Linked DNA regions of Struthio camelus. The protein of the gene in region 1 interacts with the protein of each later gene in a pairwise test. Links are inferred from orthologs where the notes say so. Each region holds a gene or a part of one and is shown in the gene's direction. Other genes may lie near its edges.

The links. The genes of interacting proteins can lie anywhere in the genome.
Region 2: the proteins of EXOSC8 (region 1) and SLAIN1 interact in binary tests that used the Homo sapiens proteins (3 or more experiments, as listed by UniProt). The link is inferred for Struthio camelus from reciprocal best matches to the Homo sapiens genes EXOSC8 and SLAIN1.

Annotation. Positions count from the first base shown.
Region 1 is NC_090942.1:196,283,894-196,294,025, reverse strand, and holds the start of EXOSC8 (exosome complex component RRP43), read left to right. Parts: upstream 1-6,068; 5' UTR 6,069-6,240; coding exon 6,241-6,257; intron 6,258-8,014; coding exon 8,015-8,051; intron 8,052-9,218; coding exon 9,219-9,282; intron 9,283-10,132. Other genes in the region: ALG5 (dolichyl-phosphate beta-glucosyltransferase), read right to left, coding at 1,087-1,179, 2,665-2,733, 3,418-3,464, 4,727-4,898, 5,875-5,940. UniProt on the Homo sapiens protein: Non-catalytic component of the RNA exosome complex which has 3'->5' exoribonuclease activity and participates in a multitude of cellular RNA processing and degradation events.
Region 2 is NC_090942.1:176,504,421-176,514,774, reverse strand, and holds the start of SLAIN1 (SLAIN motif-containing protein 1), read left to right. Parts: upstream 1-5,919; 5' UTR 5,920-5,927; coding exon 5,928-6,457; intron 6,458-9,996; coding exon 9,997-10,136; intron 10,137-10,354. UniProt on the Homo sapiens protein: Microtubule plus-end tracking protein that might be involved in the regulation of cytoplasmic microtubule dynamics, microtubule organization and microtubule elongation.

The DNA of each region.
Region 1 (10,132 bases):
AGTTTATTTTGCCATATTCTTAGTCAGAGATCTTTGACAATTTTGAAGGAGTCCACACAGGAAAACAGTAGTGAGTTTGCCAAAAGTACTGTTATTACTGAGCACATGTGACTTAATAAATACACCCACTCTACAGTCTGCAATATACAACTGTATCACACAATCGTTCTCCTTTTCCTAGGATAACTGAAAAATTATGTACCTTACAAGAACTCAGTACTTCATGTTTTCTCTATTTGCTATAGATACTGGTGTTTCATAAGTAAACCCTTGAACTGAGCCATTAAATATTCAAGCTTTACTGAGACAATCAGTGTGTGTGTGGGGGGGAAGCATGAAGAAAAAGATTTTTGAACTCATATATTCTGCACCTAACAACTATACTATTTACAATTACTTATCAGGCTAGTAGGTATAATTTATGGGTTGTCAGAGCCTCTATCTTTTACAAAAAAAATAATACATCATTTATGCTGGGAAAGAACATTCCTTCTAAATTTGTAACAACTAATTTATTTTCTGGACATGATGATTGTATATGATATCTATGTGCACGTTAATACGTGAAAGCATAGAGTGTGCCTCTTCTACCATCAAGTGCAGTTGATAACAGCGGATTTCAATGAATACAAACTTCTTTGGAGGAAAACGTTAGTTCACCAGCCATTTTTTAAAGTTAGAACTACAAGCTGGAAAGCAATGTTTGCAAATTTAGCTGTACTTTCTTTTATAAGAGTTTTACTTAAATCTGTAAGGTTTTTTTGTTTTTGCTTTTTAAATGCAGGCCTATTTCTAAGCAAAACTAACAGGAACATGAAGTTCAAGTCCAATAGTTTGTTTTTTTTTAAATCTTTTGAATGCTCATATGAAAAGAACTCTTTGTTACTAGCCTTCTCAGCTAGAAAAGATTGCTTTCAAGACCTAAAATAAGCTTACTTTACAAAGTAATTTATGGAACTTGTTCTCAGTTCTCCTATAATTATTTTGTTAATGCATGAAATTCAAAACTTAGATCAGCACAGCTGTATCACCTGCATATGGTGCACAACTAGTTCAAATACAGAAGGAGATGAAAGCATCAGTTACCATCCTGACTGCTCCTCCTTTCCCTCGATTTTTTACCAAAGAAAGCACTCGCACTTTGTCGTTTCCATATTTCTTGCAGTACTTCAGCGCAACCTAACAGACACACAAAAAACCAGCATAAAACAAAAACAGGAATCAAGGCAGAAGTTTTCATTTGCTCACCATTTTTTTTTTAATTCAATAGCACAGAGTAATAGTCCCTTCAGTCTGCACAAATATATTGCCCAGAGATTGCTGAAGTCTGTTCAGGAAAATAAAAACCAGTTCACAGTGAACACAAGAAGACTGAAAGAGACAGTCATGTTCAACTAGAATATGATATTCCCCCAGGCAGTTCTAGACCTCATTTCACCTATCTCACCAAAGTCTAAAAGATTCAGCACTAATGTAGTTTATATTATACTATTACAGGCCTTTTACATTAACACCTATAGCTAGTCAAAGAAAGAAAAAGTCTGCTACTAGTGCCACCTATTTCTCATTTGTTTCACTGTTATCTGTGGTATTAAAAAAATTCACAAAGGTCAAAAATCCCATTCACACTGCAGGGATGTGCTCTTTTGGTCCAGACGGTGGGGGAAGAAAAAACATGAGTTTTCTCCTCTAATCTTTTCCAAAGGTTGCCTCAAATCCTTGCAAGTTTGGAGGTCCATGGCCACAGCGTGCTCAGTTAGAAATTATAAAGAAAGAGTGCAAGGAAGACAGTAAATGTACACACACAATCCTTAACAGACAAGTTTAAGGGAAGGAAATGGAAAAGCAGCACTCATGTTAATTAAGTGGTTTTGAAAACCACTACCAGTGGCAAGGAGATTTTTAAATGAACAATTTCACGATCACAGCAAGCTATGTTAGAAACATTAAAAAAGACTAAAGTGATAGTTAAAAAGAGAAACACAGAGAAGGATGAACAAGCATTCTTAGAAGAGGAGAAATTCTGAAAGAAGTGGAAATTTGGAGAGAAACCCTTCCCCCCACCCTCGACTTACCGATGCTGTCATAAGATAATGAATTACAAATTATAATGTTTTGAGGTGACACTGTGGAAGTGGTAGCGTACTTGTGTAGCTGTAACGGTTTGGAATATCATTCCATGAACGGTATGGGAAAGAGCTATAGAACATGTCAGCCACTCTGTCCATCACAGTACAAATCAGCTATTTCAAAAGGCTTCCTAGCCTCACTCAACTTCATACTTACATCACTATGTACACGCAGAATATTTCAGAAGAAACCTGATGAAGTTGAAATTAGAATTTTAATTAGAATTTGAATTTTAATTAGAATTAGAATTTGAAATTAGAATTTGAAATTTAGCTGCAGGAAAGTGGCTGTCACATTAGCCAACCATGAATAATTGCATTTGCAAAATAGTTAGATATGCAGGCATATGTGCACGTGACATCCATAACGCAGGCAGGATAATGACAGAAAGCGTTCAGAAGCCTAAATTTTAATTATCAAGTAAAGAAAATTATTCAAATACCAAAATGTAAGAACAAAATATTGTTATGGTTCACAAATGCAATATATAAACCTATACATCCAATTACTTGGTAAGAAACTGCTCTCTCTTACCTTTTTGGTTAGATCTTTACTACCATCGTCAACCACTATTACTTCATAAGTGAATGAAGGATCTTGTTTCTTGAAAATAAAGAGAGAAACAACGCATTTAATACAATCTTTTCAGTAGGAAGCATGCCTTTCAAACATCAGTGTTCTCTTCTACCGTTTGTGTTTACAGACAGGCATCAATATGATGTGGTAAATTTGTTACGACAGTAAACACAGTTAAGGAATTTTGCCGTATTAGATGTCTGTTGGCTTGTCATATTTTTCCTGAGCTACATCTAGCACTGAAAAATCAATTTAGTTGAAAAAGGGTATGTGAAAGCTCAGAACATCACTGTTAAAAAACAAAGAAACAAAAATCCAATAAACAAACACCCCCCCCCCCGCACACCTTCATAATGGGCGTCTTAATCAGATAACCAATCCTAATGAAGAACAAGTGTTTAAAAATACTGGAAGAACAAACTAGCTTGTAGTTCAGAGACTTAAATATCTGGTTAATTCTTAAACTCTATCTTGGATACATACCTTGCATGGAAATTTTTGTCATGATAGAATAGTTAATTAAATTTTTACTTAATTAAAAAATACCTTCCAGCATTCAATCTTAGAATAACTGATAAGAGACAGAAGCACTACTTCTAAGTAGCTGAAGTTATACTATTTTAACATATAACAAAACAATCAAGTGATTAGATCACAGATTTATATGCAATACATACAAAAATAATGAATTATGAATGCAAAATAAAATACCTGTCTTTTTTCTAGATAATCTAAAGCTTCATCCATCATAAGAGGCACTACAGAAAAGGTGGAGGAGCTCAGGTTAGTAGATATAACAAGCTAAACACCAAGACCACCAACAAGCATATGCACAAGCAAGCTGACAACAACCATAGAACTAAGAAGAGCAAATTGATTCCTTCATAAAACACTAATTTCACTAAACAAATCTAGCACCTGCAATTCTAAGTGCTGTCCTTCCTGAATATGAAAATAATAATGAAAAAACCCACATCTAAGACAGGGGATGAAAATGTTTCTTTAAAGATCAAAAACAACTTTTTAGTTTGAAAATGTAATTCTCTACATAGTATTAAAGAAAAAAAAAAAGCCTTGCCTCACTCTGCGAACCAGCACTGACTAATCTTTGTGTTCACAAAAGATGACAGAAGTCAGCAAGAGAAATTCCTAATACTAGTCAGCACTGTGCATTCGTTTACTAAGGCTGCTGACCCAGATGCTTTAGGCACCTAACAGGCACTACTTTTGCAGCTGAACTATCTGTACATTAGAAAGATGTTCATTCTCAGCTGCCTTTGCAGTATATGCTCATTCCTGAGCAAATCTCAGGTGATTGTTCTGTCTCTGAAGAGAGAAGGCCAAATGAAAGTCACATGAAATGTATTAAATCCTTGCTCACAGAAAGCGAGCGCCTGAGAACCAGGACTGAGAAATACACTGGACTCTAGAAAGTGCCGGGCCTACTCTGCAGACTAGATACATACTATTTGCCAATATCCCTTGTCATGGAATCCTGAACAGCTCACTAGAAAAGGGAATGACAGTGTGTGCTATCATGTCAACCGCAAGCAGAGCTTCAGAGCTTGATGCTTTCTTATCCCATCAGAAAGCCTTCACCTTTTAGCAGCATATAAATGGCCAAGACAAAAGTCAAAGGGAAACCCATGCGATCATCTTCTTTCTGCTTGAGGCTGCTGCTGCCGGTTTCAGAGTGGAAAATTCTCAAATCAAGTTCAAAAGGCCTTTTCTACATCTCTTCTCACAGCATCTACAGGGGAATAAGCAGCTACTTTGCTGTGCTTTATTTTAATATAATGCATTCTTACAACTGATTTTTGTTGCTAAAAATAGCAAAGGCCAAATTATACAATTTCTTAATTCTGAAATTCAGTGTAGTTGGATTGGTTTCTGGAAACTGGGTACAACATTAGACACGTCTAGCCTGCCAGAATCTATTGCTAACATAAACTAACCTCTGCATTATTAGAGTAATAACAGATAGATTTTCTTCTTTTTCTCAAAACAAGAAAAATCTTACACCGGTCTTCCTCATTGTATGAAGGCACAACAACAGAGAGCTCCCTTGTAGGGGGATCATGTATACTTGGTACAGATTCTTTCCTGCCTTCAGCAGTTAGGAAGAACTTCTCTTCTTCATGTCGGTGAAGGCTTGGCATTTTTATGGCAGTTATGTGAGCAATTATACAAATCTGTGAAGAAAAAAGAAAAAAACACGCAAGAAAGTCTTTGCGCACTGTTTATGGAGTAGTGTCCTAGTAAAGGTTTACCCAGCTATTGCAACGTGCTACAATCGGACAATCAAATGTAGTTCGGTAATGAGCTGGGCTAAACGATGCAGTATTTTACCTATTGACCACATCATCCAGGATCAAAACCTTCTTATGCCACCTGCTCACTCCTCTTCATCTAACCTGGACACACTTAGCATCGGGAGTTTCTGTTTTCAGACGGAAGGCACCTTGAATGCTTCTGAAGATGTGGTCCAAGCCCCACTACACCTTCTCCAGCCTCCACCTCTAATACTACTAACTTCTGCCACCGCTGATCCCCCGCGGAGCCACTGCAGTGGATGGTGTTACTCATGAGCTTAGCCAGCCCCACGTTTGCAAAAATCACTTTTCTGCCCAGCTCAAATAAATCAGTAAGGCTTTTTTTTGGAAGTACTTTTCCTAGCGAACAATATATATGCAGTTCTCCTGACTAGCAGCAGCGCCCGGTTTCCAAGCCTCACAGGTCTCAGCCTTGCACCGTGTTTTAATCACCTAGAAAGGACCAACACCCCTAAACGATTAAGATGCAAAAAGCATCATGAGGCTATTCTAGGAGAGATCCGAAACGAACAAAGCCCCCTCCGTTTTCCATCTCGTTTGCCACGCGGCGCACCGACACGCCTTGCGCAAACACACAACAACGCTCCCAGCTAAGCCGCTGCGGGAACAAGAGCGGCGGCAACCGGCACCGCTGGCCACGCCGGGGCGCAGCGCAGCGACCCGCGGAGCGCGGCCGGCCTCGAAGCGCCGCCCGCGGCCGCAGCCCCGCGGCAGCCCCGGCCCGGCGCCGCGAGCCCCGCTGCCCGCACACCCGGCCGGGCCGGGCCGGGCCGGGCCGGGCGTGGGGGTGCGCGGCACCGCCTGCCCCCGCCGTGCCGCCCCCCGCGGCTCTCACCAGGACGAGGGCAGCGGCCGCCAGCGCCGCCAACGCCGCGGCGGCTTCGGGCAGCGGCAGCGCCATGGCCCGCGGACGTGGTGGGGGGGGGGCGGCAGCGGCGGCTGCCAACACCCTTTCGGGCAGCTCCAGCGAGGCGGAAGCGGCCGCCTCGCCGCCGCGGCGCCGCCGCCAAGAGGGGCGGCCCCGCCCGCCGAGCGGCGCTGGGAGCCGCCGGCGCCCCCCGTCGGTGAGGGCCTGCCCGCGCCGCCGCCGCCGCCGCCGCCGTCGCCTCCTCTCCGAGGCGGCGGGCCGAGGCTTCCGGCCGGCTGGGTCACGGGAAAGCGCAACCCCGGAAAGAGACGGCAGGGAGGTAGCGACGCGACTATGGCGACAGCTTTTAAGTAAGTGACGGAGGTTTAGCGGCGCTGCTCGCCGCCGCCAGCGCGGAGCCGCGGCTTCTCGGCCGCTGCCTTGGCCGCTCCTGGCGCCGCGCAGGCCGAGGCGGCCCCGCTCCCGCGCGGGCGGGGCGGGGCGGGGCGGTGACGGCGGTGACAGCGGAGCCCGCGCGGCCCGGCCTCGCGCCGGAGCCGTTAGGGCCGTTGGGGCCGTTCCCGGCGCGCGGCTGCGCGCGCCGCTCCGCGCAGGGTGGCGGCTGAAGGAGACAGGGATCGAGCGCATTCTCTTTGTGTGTTTTTTTTTCTTTTAAAGCTGCTGTTTTCTGCTCTCGTTTGGTTCGTAGGGAAGACAGAAGAGGTAGGCGATGACAGAATGAGAGACAGTGGGCACAGATTGAAACTTGGGAGATTTTGATTAGCTACTTGGGAAACATTTTTTTGCGGTTGAAGGGGGGTCAACCAGCCGGGGTGTGGAATCTCCCTCCTTGGAGACAGGCAACTGGGCAAAGCCCAGAGCAGCCTGAGTGAGGCCTGGGACCGTACAAGCTCCAGAGGCCGCTTCCAACACGTTGTGTTTTCCTTTGCCTTCTGAAACATCGACCAGCGCGTTAGCGCTGGAGGAGGGCAGCCTCCTTCAGGAAAGGGAAGAGGTACTGGCAGTATCGCTTTAAGGAACTAATTACAAGAGCCACAATTTCGAAAAACATGGAAAAGTAGGAAATTCAGTGGCTGCTGGTTTATGACTATTCTTCCTGTCGCTGTTCTTTCCAGGTTTCTGCCTTATGATCGTGAAACAGGGTGTAGCAGGTGCTCCCTGTGTGAATCAGAAAAGAATAGGCCATATATTGGCATTACAAACAGTGGCAGAGGACTATCATATAGAGGACTGATGCGTTAATTCATGTTTGTTGTCATGAGCTGTGATGACTGTGTGCGTTAGATTGCATTTGGAAAACTTGTTTGAATTTTTCCCAGTTAATCGCGTTTTTCCAGAATTGCTTGTTTGAACAAAACTTTTGGCTTTGGTCAAATATCACGCTGCCTCTATAAGTATTTTTTTACTTAGACGTTCTGTGCTGGAAATACTAGTACACAAGCTGTGCTGGTAGTATCTGATTAATAGTAAACATTAAGTATTCCTCAACTTAAGCACTGCATACAGCATATTTCATAATGTTATATTTTTATTTAAAAGGGTTCTAAGAAAAAGCTATTACATTTCAAGACTGATAAATTGTTTTTTAACTGCTTTGTATATCTGAATACAGTCATTGAATGAACAAAATAAATCAGATAAGGTTACCCTTTCTGCAGCATTTCTTCAAAAGCACTTGAGACTGTTGCCTCAATAAACACTCTTTTTGATCAGAACTAATTACTTAAATAATAAATTTAAAAAGATTCTTGAGGCGAAAGCTAGTTTGTATGGGCATATGGGCATGCAGATTCCCTAGTTGTAAGACAGAAGCATTTTGTTTCAAGTAGATAAAATGTTTATTTTTTCATTCTCCGTTTTTCCAAACCTTTTCTCCTTTTTAAAAATCATACATGCATTATAGTAGGTAGCTTTCTGAAACTTAGGAGGCCTCATCTTAGATCAGTTAAGTTTCCTGATCTTGCTATAATTGTATTGCTAATCAGCTTTGCTAGTTAGCTTAATTCTCAAATGACAGTTGTTGTAGGAAGGTGCCTGCTTTTCTTTTTTTGCTATATCTTAGTTACCAGACACTTTGCATGTGAACTTCAATTTCTTTTTATTTTAGAACAGTGGAACCGTTGGAATATTACAGAAGATTTTTGGTGAGTAAAACATGATGTGCATGTGTAAATTGCTTGTAATCTGTTTTTTTTTTTTTTTCTGATGTACTTTTGCTTTTCTGATTTGTCTCTGTGGAAATCTTGATACTTGTAATGCAAAAATAAAAAAATTGATTAAGGGGAAAAATGGTCATACTCTTCACAGCATATTTTGCGTTCCGTCTGTGGCATTCATTCTGGAGCAACTTCACATGGGTAAATGTTACTTTTGGCCTCGGAAGCAATGTGAATTAAACTTGACTAAGATAGCGGCCCAGGTTTGTCTCTAGTACAAAATGATCCCAGGCTGGGCTTTTAGCTGTTACTGAAAAATAAATAATAGAGCTATTGCTGCTAACCATATTTACCATGAATATGGAGGAAGAACACTGACTTTTTTGGTAATGCATATTATATTAGTCTATGCATTACTGAAATAATACTAAGAAATGAGTCTAGTATCATTGCAGTCAGCTTTAATTCTTCTAAATGCAGAATTGATGTGTATATTAACAGGAGCTTCATTGTCTATGAGGGCTTAGTCTAGAGTTCTTTACCTTCTAAAACACTGGTTAGCAGGGAGATAGGTAACAAAGTATGATTAAGCTATGAGAATACATTAATTGAACCATTAAGTGAAGTCTTTGTTTTGGAGAAGCTTGAAATTAGGGTGCATTATCATTCCCATCTAACATGATGGTAAATTGGAGCTGCTTCTAACTTAATGTGTATATCCAGGTTTTGTTGACAGCTTTTAACTGACAATATTTAAGGTTTTTTTTTTTTTTTGGTTCAGTCCAGTGTTCATTTTAAGAGCTCCACTGGGTGGGGAAGCTACAAAAACTAAACAGTGCAGAAAGGTGGAAACTTTCTAAAGTTATCAGTACTATTCATTCTTGGATGGTTTTCTGAGTCTAGCCTTTAGCACTTACTCTTGAGACAATTCATTGTTACATATTTATTTTTCTAAAAAATTACAGGCCTAAAACCACAAATGGGGTATCAGTTGCTGGAAAACTCGGTTGAGTTTTCCCTAGCAATTTTGTAACTCCATATTTCTGCTAAAAATAAGCAAACACTTTTTATTAAAAAAAACTCCTGAAGCATAAATGTTGGTGTGTTATTTCATGAAACGTGTTTTTTAATTTGAAATCTGTAATTTTTGTTTAGAAAGAGAACTGTCGACCTGATGGAAGGGAGTTAGGTGAATTCCGGGCAACAACTGTCAACATTGGTAAGTGCTTATTTGGAATAACAATAATGATAGGATTTTTTAATTATTTTTCTCAGATTTTTATAGTTGGTGCCCTTAATGACTTGCTAATTGGTTTTCCTGGTGCTTCAATTTTGAAACAAGAAAGGAGTAGGATTTGCATTTGTAGTTCCAAACAGTGTTAAAGAGAATGCATTGTGCAGGAATATATTTGAATGCTATTATTCAGGTCTACTTCTGGGCTGATCTGCATAGCGTAATTTAGGATGCTTTAGGATGCTTGGGTGCTTGTCTTAAGTCTCACATAAGCTGTGTATGATGCTCTAGCATCTTGAGAGAGGCAGTGACTCCTGGATTCTGCTTTGTTCCAAGCTTGGTGAGCAGCTGTCTCTCACTGAAGCAAGATACCTGCTATGTAGTGAGCAGCAGCACCTTACCTTCCTGAGGAGCCTTCCCTAGACCTTGCAATGATTTTTGAAGAGTATAATTAACTTCTCTTTTTGAGAAGAAAGTACAGGTTAGCGTATCACCATGGAAAAGCTGCTCGTTATTGTTCAAACTGGAGTTAGTAGGTCTCTTCCACTGAACAGCATTGCCTTTCCATTAGGTCTTGCTGCAAGTCACCCAGATGGTGGTGTTATGTTAACTGTCTATGATTTCTAGTCTATAAAAGTTCTCTGTTGATAGGATCTGTGGTATTTAGAGCTCTCTTTTGCTGTTTTATCTGTTTGCGTAGTAAAAATATACATTTTCATCCAGCAGACCATTGACTACTTCTAATCCAAAAGGAATTATTACCTCAAATTTGCATTAATGAACTAAAAGTCATATGGTATGTATGAGAAAACTGGATCAAGATACTGATGAGGCA
Region 2 (10,354 bases), about 20 Mb from region 1:
CTTCCTCAGCTTTCTACCCTCAAAGGCACATACAGAGAGAGTGCGAATTCTTATTCACCAGTCATAGTGTTCTGTGAACCAAATTATATCCTCCAATATATATGTATACTGAAGACAAAGCAAATGTTCAAGTGTCTTTAAAAGCATAAGTAGTTTTTATAATTGGTGAAAACTCATGAAAACAAAAGAACTTATCCTGATTTATAAGACTCAGGTTCATGCTTTCTGTCTAGAACTTAAGGAAGGGAAAAAACAAAGAAGGTAAGGAATCAATGCGTTTGTAAGCCAGAGAAATTTGATATGGAATTGATGAGTCAAAATACAGTAACACTCCATTAAACTAGAACTGTCATGGGCGGTTCCATCTAGATAGACCAACAGACTAGCAGACCCTATGCTTAATACATGGACACCATTTTTAGATACTGTAAATGCTGATTTTCTGAAACAGGTGGAGCTCAGAGAAAATGATGCAATTCTGAATTTAATCCCTTAGAAAATCCATTCTAATAGTTATTACAATATACTCGAATTTAACATTAATTTATTACGGAAAAAGCCAGAAAGTCATAAACATAATGATAAAAAAACAGAGAGAGAGAGAATTGTATAAAAATGACAAAGCCAGTTACCAGGAAATTAAAAAAAAAAAAAAACCTACGGTGGCAAAACATTTGCAAGAGACTTTGGGAATGAAGAATCCATGTTCTAACTCAAAGAAGAAATTAACAACTCAGATATTTTAGAACAAATGTATAAAGCTAACAATAACAAATGTCTAAGACCAGACAGTATCCCTGCAAAAATTCTAAAGCAACTTAAGTGTGGACATTGTTGAACTCTACAGGCACCTATCACTCAACGTAGACTCGGTGCCAAGCAAATTTGAAGCATCAGCTGTGACATCAGACTTTTAAAAAATATGAAAGCTGCTCTGGGGAACTGCAGATCAGTAAGTCTGACTTTTCAATCAAGCCAATTTGTACAAATTATAATAATTAACAGAATATAAAGGCATACGGATATTTATGATATATTGGAGCAGTGACCATACAGCTTTTTGAAAGCAAGGCATGCTCATAAATATATTAGTATTTCTGAAGGAGCCAATATGCTTTTAGTTAAGGTGATTTATGTATTTGAGTATATTTAGATTTTCGATAAGTTTTTGTTACACTCTTTCCCTAAGCTATCATCATATAAGAAAACTTGCAGCAATAAAAGAAAGAAAACATCAGTATGAAAAAAAATGTTTTCGTTATGGAGGAAGATAGGAAAGAATGGGAGGTAAAGACTGACTTCTGTGGGGGCAAGATCATACAGATTAGGGTTTGTCAGCTTGGAAGAGAAGTAACTGAGGGAAAATATGTTTATAAAATCGTGAATGACAAAGAGAAGCTGAACAGAGAATGAGTAATCATTCTGCCTTTCTCAGAATACCGGAACTAAGAGACCCCCAATTAAATTACTAGGCAGCAGGTTTAAAGCAGATAATAGGAAGCAGTTTTTCATACAATACATAATTGAACTGCAGCGCTAATTGCCAGAGGGTGTTGTAAAGTTCTAATGTATAAATGGTTTAAAAATGGGGCTTGACAACTATAATGTTATTACACATTGCTGGCAATTAAAAACAAACGGTCCAGATGTCCCATCCACCAACCACTGAAAACTGGAGAGAATCCCTCAATATTTTTCTTGTTTGTGATATATTCTTCCCTAAGCAGCTACTATTAGCCTTTCTTGAAGATAGGATACTGGGTTAGATAGACTTCTGCTCTAACTCCACATGGCAGATGTTCTATTTTTTATAAAACTACTTTCGCAGTGACTTTTCAGAATGCAAGTGCATTTTAAAAATTTCACCAGACTTGGACTTTACCATTCATGCTCTGACTTTATTGTAACACATGCTTTGTATAGCCCAGACTGGATTACTGCAGTTCATTCTATGCTGGCTTGCCTGAAAGGCAGGTCCAGCCTGCAGCTATTACAGAATAAAGCAATATGCTTATTATCAGAGAAGAGCAGATGGGATTTATAGACTTCCTGCTTCTTTGTTCTCTGCACTGGGTGTCTATTAGTAACTATTCTGATTCAGAAATTTCTACTATACTATGTCACATAAGTAGCCTAAACCACCATCTTCTATGCTACCACAGTTTCTCCGGTTGAGGAATAACAGGCTTCATGGGCATGTTTGGATGTTTTGGATTGGTGTAAAACACATTTTTTCAATAACTTAAAAAAGGGATGCAGTCTTCATACAGTCTTCATTGTGTTTTGTGAAGAGCTGTAGGAGTTCTGGGTTGACCAAACACATCAGCAAGTGTGGGAATTCTGAATGGAGCTGGTCAAGCAAGTTATTAGCAATGTCAACAGTGGAGAAAAACCATTTGTATTAAAAAAACAACTTAGGTCAAAAATATTTTAATGACTAGGATGTCAAAACCATCTTTTTGGCCAGCACAAAGACCATGAAATAGCATGTTCATGTACACACACTCTATCTGCCAGAACCTCTGAGTGAAGATGCAATGTTAGTGAAACTACCTGTACGTTTAATATAGAGCAACCATAGCGAAACTGATTTTTTCCATTCACTAGAACCACCCTTTCAGGAAATGCCTGGTAAAAAAGATAGAGTCTCTCACCCAGATTGTGAACATGCACAAGTTTAAGCTGTTTTCAATCCATACTGCTGGATGGAGATTAGGCTCAAAGCAGACCCACCCTAGGGAGAGCCAAACTTCTGGACCATTTTTGTGGCGACTGGATGTAGTGAACTTGATTAATTTGTACAAACTGCCTGGAAAAGTTTTTATCCCCATGCTAAGGCATCATACTCAGTCCTAAGCTTTGTCCCTTCTGGAACTAGGTCCAAACAAGTGTCTGCATACAATATGTTTGTAGGCAGTCTAAACAGTGGAAGGTAGTTGAAAATTCACAGACAAACTGCTTCTACTCATAACTGAAGATAAGTATTTTAATAGTGACTCTTAAGGTCACGTGCCATGATACTTGTAGTATATCTCCAAACGTATCCCCAAACTGGTGTCTGTGTTAGATATTTTTACTTCTAAAATGTCCTGACCACACTGTAGTGTTCCTGCTTTGGCAGTCAGAAGAGCTTGGATCACTAGTATTTTCAGGACATTTGTTTGTCAATACTCTTCAGGGCTAACCTAGCTGGTATATAATTAGAATATTGTTGCCAGGTCCACATTTAATATTGAATATTGAAGGTTATAGGGATAAACCCGTGCCAAAACATTTGGAAATATTAGGAAAAACGCTATGTAGCTGAAAGGTGAAACAATCAGATATCAATTTCCTGCTTTTTGTTCGTCGTCTAAATAACTTTGCTCACCTGGTTCAAAGAGAAAAAGTAATTTCTCCGTTCTGGAACATTTTCAGTATTTCCTCTGCCTCATTGCATTATCCACCATAATTATTGTGACATTATCACAAACTACTGCGTTTTTTACGTTGTACAGCACCAATGACCAGTAAACGCTATATTACATATGCTGCTAGTTACCTTTTTATCATTTTAAAAATTTTACTGGATTAGCATACACATACTTCTAAGAATTAAGGCTAGTACCATTATGGGGGATGACAACGTGAGAGACAGGCCTTTTGCCTGGGGCTAAACATGTTGAAACTTATTCCTCTTTTTCTCATGGAAATGAAGATTATTGGTAGTAACAAAAACTGGATTATACTACTCACTCTGATGATGTGTGACAGAATTGGGACCAGCCATTTTCTACACCGTTAACATTTTTTCACTCCTTTCTTCCTAACGGGCAGAGGAGATCAAACACATTTTTGGATTTACTGATATCTGGTTGCACACTAATACAGTGAGGGCTATTTTTATTCTCCTCAGTGATAAAAGTTACATTATCTGGAAGTCAAAAAGCCTTATGCCCTATTTTATCTTCCTTTCCATCCATTCTTGAAGTGCTAGTTGTTGTTTGCACTGTAATAGCGCTTAGAAGACTAACAAATAGTAGACTCATTGTCTTGTGCATATGCAGAAAAAAGAGAGTCTGTTTTCAAAGAGTGTAAACAAAAGACAGAAAATTTTGACAGGCCGGATGATTTCAAAGTTTACTTATGCCCTGAACAGAGAATTAGGGCCTGTCCCCTTCTCACATATGAAATCTGAGATAGGGAATAGACACTGTGAAGAGGCAGTGGTGACTGTTGTTGGTACTACTCTGTCCAGTGTTGATGTTCAGTAACTGGGAAGCTACCCTATGTATCTTGATAGCTATAGTGACTATAGTGACTATAGTCCATAGTGACTCACCCAGCAATTTAACTGCTTCCTGCGATTTTATTGCGTATTTTGTATTATAGCTTTAGGAAACTTCAGGACAATCATTTAGAAAGCTGTCCTCTGTAATTCTAGCTCGGGGAAATGGACCAGAAAATGGGCAGTCCTGGATTCTATAATGGCCAAGTTGCCTTGGGCATAACACTGAATCCCTGTTGATCTTCTTGCCTCCAGGGAGGAGCTGACTATGCCCACTATTGCTGAGCATTTGGGATACTCATGTTCACAGTAATGAGCTCACAGAAGTGGTCAGTATTTTGAAGTTATTTGTAGTTACATTATCCTGTGTGAATAATTCAGATCAAGGGTACCCCTGTGTGGTTTGACTGTTCTCACATCAGACTCGCTCTGGCCCCTGGCAAGGGCACCATGGCAGACGACCGGGGGTGATGTTCTCGGCTCCTGCTTTCACCTCCATGCACATGCCTGACAGACCAAGCTGCCAGGTCACCTGCTCGGCAGGAGAGAGAAAAGCAAACAATAGTTTCTCTAAGTGCTGGATAATGAAGAACAATATAAAAACATTTCCATATCTCAATGTCATCCATCCCTCTCAAGCAGAGACTCAACACTACAAACCCATATACGTATCTGGATCAAGTTAAAAGACCTCATTTCAACACGGGGCCAATTTTAATCTCAGGGGCTCTCTGATACATAAACGATTTGCTTATGTGGTTTTCTACTACGCTTTGAATCGTCTTCATGCTTCTTCAGCAACGTATCTCCAAAAAGACATGCACTTTCCTTGTCCTGAATCAAAAGTCCTACAATCAGCATGTTTCAAAGCCACAAATGCGTGCTTTGGGCTGAATTCGTTCCTTTCCAACACAACAAAGCCTTGATTCGTGATTCTCATTCCCATCACAGCTAAATCTGCATAATTACAACCCTGACACCACCAGGCGCTAATTATATGGCTCACAGGAGGAATGACAGCCTGGGCCGGATCCAGCTCGCAGCCCGGCAGCGGCGTTTGCGCGCCGCAACCACGGCCGGGCAAAGACCTTTGTCTAAAGCCCCGGGATGACATGGCCCCGCCGCCCCCACGCGGGTCACCGCGGCCCTCGCCCCGCCGCCGCCGTCCTCCCCCTCCCTCTCCCGCCGAGGGCCGCCGCCGGGCCTGGCCGGAGCCCCCACCCCAGCCCGGCCGTGGCGCTGAGGGGGCTGCCGGGCCGCCACCCCCCTCCGCGCTGCCTCCCGCCCCCAAGGAGCGCCCGCCGCCGCCTGACGGCAGGGGAGCCGGGCGGCTCTTTGTTCCCTCTCTCTGTATGGGGCGGGAAGGGAGGGGGGCTCCGGCTGCCGAGTGGGAGGGGATCTCACCGGCTCCCGCGCCGCCGCTGACAGGAGGCGCAAGAGCAGCGGAGGCGGCTGCTACGGCGTCGCGGCGGGCGTGAGGGGTGGGGGGGGGCGGTGGCGCCGCCGCAGCGCAGCGCAGCGCAGCGCAGCGCAGGGCGCGGAGGGGCGAGGGAGCGGCGCGAGCCGCCCTCGCCAACGGCCGCCCGCCCCCGCGCGCCAACGGCCGCTCGCGGCGCCGGGCGCTGCCCAGCGGCGGCGCAGGTGCCGGCGGCGAGGGAGGATGGAGGCTGCCTTGCTGAAGCCGGCGATGATGGCGGAGGTGAAAGGGAGCGGCGCCGGCCCCGCCGTGGGCTCGGTCGTCAGTGCCGAGCTGGAGGTGAAGAAGCTGCAGGAGCTGGTGCGGAAGCTGGAGAAGCAAAACGAGCAGCTGCGGAGCCGTGCCGCCGCCGCGGCCGCCACGGCCACGGCGGCCGCCGCGGGCCCGCCCAGCCCGCACCTGCTGCTGGCCCCGCCGCCGGCTCCTGGCGGGCTGGGCCCTGCTGGCCCCCCCCCGGCGGCGGCCGGCGGCGGCGGTGGCGGGGCCGCTCCTTGCGCGCCCAGCGCGGTGCCCACCCTGCTGTGCGCCGCCGCGCTGGGCCCGCCGGAGCCCCTCGCTTATTTCAAGCCCACGCCCGGCCTGGCGGCGGCTTGCGGCGGCGGGCAGGAAGCGGGTGGCGGCGGCGGCGGCCCGGCGGCAGCGGCCACGGTGCTGGACGAGGTGGCGGTGCTGGAGCTGGAGGAGGGCTGCTGCGGAGAGGACGAGGATACGTGGTACGTGCGGTTCGTAGCGCGGCCTTGCCCGGCGGCGGCTCGGTCTCGGTGCCCCTCGCCCACCTCCCTTTTCCCCACCCGGGGCAGCGCCGGGGGCCGCGGCCCGGCCGTCTCCCTCCCCCCCACCCCACCGCGGGGCAGCAGAGCCCTTGCTCTGACCCCCCGCCGGGCTGCAGGTGTCCCCCGCCTCCCCGCTAATGCTCACCCAGATGGTGCTCTCCAGGCTATTATAAGCATTAGCCCCCACATCTACTTGCTCTTGTTCTGCTTAAACTTAAATCTGCGTTTTATTTATGTTTTTTTCTCCTCTCCTCTTTAACGTGTCACCTGCTTGGTGAGATCAACCTATAACGGTGAATGGGGACCCCGCGTAGGGGGACCGGGGGTTGTGCCCCGCTTCAGGTCAGGGCTTTATCCCCCGGGGCGCCTGTCCCTGCTCCCCTCCCCGGGATGCCCGCCCGCCCTGGGGCTCCTGCTCGAGGGGCCGGAGGGCGGCTTGCCTCGGCCGCAGCCTGCGCCGCAGCAGGGCCGACGGGGAAACACGGGGGCAGCCGGTTTTGCTCAGGGCCGGGCCGGTGATGTGAAGGAGGCACCGGCGCCGGGCGCGGCGAGGGGCCGGGCGGGCGGGCGGGCGGGCGGGCGGGCGCGGCTGGACCAAGGCACAGGCTTCCCGTCGGGAAAAGCAGGGATTCGCTGTTGTTTTTCCCGTTGGAAAAAAAAAAAAATTGTCTCTCAGTTTGGTGTCAGCCTAATTTCAGCCTACTGCTTACATAAGGTATTAAAAATAGCGGAACCGTTCCAGTAATCCTTTATCTGAACAGTGCTTCCTCCCCATCCTAAAATCTCTGTCCAGTTCGGCTCTGGTCTTCCGGGATTTGGGAGGGCTTTTGTTTTTGGGACATTGATCTACGCGGTTGTTTGTGTATCCGAAGTGCTTACGTAGTTCCAAAACGCATGGCGCTGTGCTAGTAAATGTTTTCTTAAAAAAGGGCAGAAAATAAATTGATCTAAAGGAATAGTTATGCCCGTTTAAAAATAAATAGAAGGAGAAATTATAGACTAAAAATATGAAAGATTGTTTGGTGCTACGTAAGTTGCCTGAGCAACTTGTGCAAACATCTTAGAGACTATTTAAGCGCTGCACTAATATTGTGGAAATCGTTGTCCACGTAACCACGTTAAGCGTAATTGATGGTCGATTGTATTAAAGTGTCAGTAGTAAAATGGATATTAATCATATTTAAATAACCATTTTAAGTATCTGTTCATGCCTCAGCATAGTTTCTTAACCTGTTTTAGTTTTAAAATCAAGCTGAAGAATACATCAGCTGAGAATAAAATACAGTATAATGCAGCTGAGATGCAGTTAAACATCCTTATTTTGGTAGTAAAGAAGGGATTTAAAAATGCAAATATCATCAGTATTTCTTGAACACTGGTTATATGTACTTCATAGCACAAAAGTAATACTGTGACTTAGTTTTTGGAAATTGCTTTTGAGAATTATCATGAAATTTTGCATACATTTTTATCAGTATTGTTTCATTCTGTGTATCCTTCGTCTGCATGAGTTGTTGTGAGAATGCTGATTCTGAGTTCAGTCAGTTTTTCCTTCAGACCTAACCCATTGCTTGTGGCAAATGAGTAGAAGTGATTAAACTTTCCTTTGCATTAGCATTTTTCCTCAAATTTGTTTGACCTAACAGAGCAGTACAAAGTCAGCGTTATTTTACGTATCTTAGTGCGGTGAAGATTTTGATCAGTTTCCTATTTGATTTGCACTCTGGAAGCCACCCAAGTGCAGTTTTGGGGCCAAAACTTATCTTCATGTCATGACCTGTAGTTCCAACTCATGTCACACATATATGTGTCTACAGGCAGAATCTGGTAATAGGAGTTTGTTAACTTTTTTATTCAATTTGGAGTGAATTGTGTTAGCTGTTGTACGTTTTCCTTTCAAGGATGCATCTCCTTTGTTGTCCATTAATGGTCAGCTGTTTGATGTCAGCTGCTTTGAGGCTTTTATAATTTAAGTCATTAAAGCAAACTGATATCTGATAATCCAAAGGCCAGTATGTTCCTCGCTGTTGAGTTAGTATTTTGGAGTCTTGAGTACATCTTTATTATTTTTAACTGTAGTTACAAAAACAAGAATTGGCTTTATTGCACACAAGCCAAAATTTATTTCTGCTTGTCAGCTTTTTATACAAATGTCTGATCATTGAGAATTCATCAGTCAGATGTTTAGCTTTCAAAACGCTTCTGCAAGCTAACAGGAGACCTCAAAACTTTTCCTTTTTTTTTTCTTTTTTTTTTTCATTTTTCTCAGTATCATGTTTTTAAACGTGTAGCCAAGCACAGCGTGGAGTAAGGGGAAATGAGTACTCTCCTCAGAGAAATTTAGTAGTTGAACTCTGGGATTGCCAGTAGAGAAATCAATTACAATGAAGGTATTTATTCATTTTGAGCTGGATAGAGACAAAAAAGATATTGAGTAGACATTAGAAGTGGCCACCTGAAGAATTTCTTCTTCTTTTTTTTTTTTTTTTTTGTGTCTTGCCTTTTGTGCCCCTATTTGCATGCCAAATTCCTTTGCGTTATCTGGGTATTTTGCTGGAGCCTGACAATCTGTGTAAGAGTTTGTCAGTAGTCACATCGATCAGAAGTGATAAGGCATGCTGTTCAGCCAAGGAGCTGAGGGCTGTCCTCAGTAGCTATTAATAGTTCACTTTCTGGAAGATTTGTGCTCTCCCAGGTGAACTGATGTCTGCATGTGTACACTAATCTATAAGGAGAGCAGGAGCAATGCAGATACCAGCTTCAAGAATTTACCTGTGAAAGCTACTTTGGTACCTGGCTTCCTAAACGTGTTTGATCATCTGATTAGTTGCCCAGTGTACTCTGAGAATTATGGATATATATACTAGTTTTTCAAGAATAATTTTTTTCCTTCTGGAATCAAATATCAAAACTGGATTTTCATTTCTCAGCAGATGTTTTCTAATCTTTGAAGTCTGACTGTTATACAACATTTAGTTCATTTAGGAGAAGAGCCTGGGTATGAAAATTACAATCCGCATTCTGACACGTTGAGTAAATTATTAAAGGTAAACACATGAAATAGATCACAGTGAAATTCTCATTTAAATGTGAAATAAAACACTGAAATTATTTAAACTTTGATAAATATGAAGGGGAAAACTGATAGCATCTTTGTGTGTACAGCACCTAACGGGTTTGAACTCTGAGCGGTGCTGAAGTTCAGGCAGTGGTAATAATGAGATGTAATATTTTCATGAGTAATCTAATCTAACTTTGATTTGAAGTTCCAAAGCTGTAGAGATTATAATTCGCCATCACGTTTCATGAGGAGAAGGGAAAAAATCAGCGTAAACTCTTTTCCTGCTGAATGCTTTTTGTTAATAGAATTTCATAGTGCGGGGTTATGCACTGTTAGAAATTAGCAAGAAACTGAGAGTACAAAAGTTAACTTTTAAGTATTGCATATCTTTCTGATATTTGTATGTATTTTGGTTAAGGTTATATGTCTTACCTACCAAGACTCTCACTCCTCAAGAGAAATCACTCAGTCCTCTGCAGTGGTGCAGACGTGTTCTGGATCATCCAAGTCCTGAGATAGAGGCTGCAAAACGTTCTCTATGCTTTAGATTGGAACAAGGTAATCTTATTCTTTGAATTTCTGTACTGTTAAGTTGGCATTTTTGCCTGGCATATCACTAGTACTCAGTGACTTTGACAATTCGGCATATTTCACAAATGACAGGCATGCAGTTCTCTCAGGTCTGCCGGTCTTCCTCTGCCTGTGAAAACAACAGGCGATTGTTTGAGATATTTTTTTCTGACCATGTATTTTTAAAGTATTCTCCTTCTTCATTA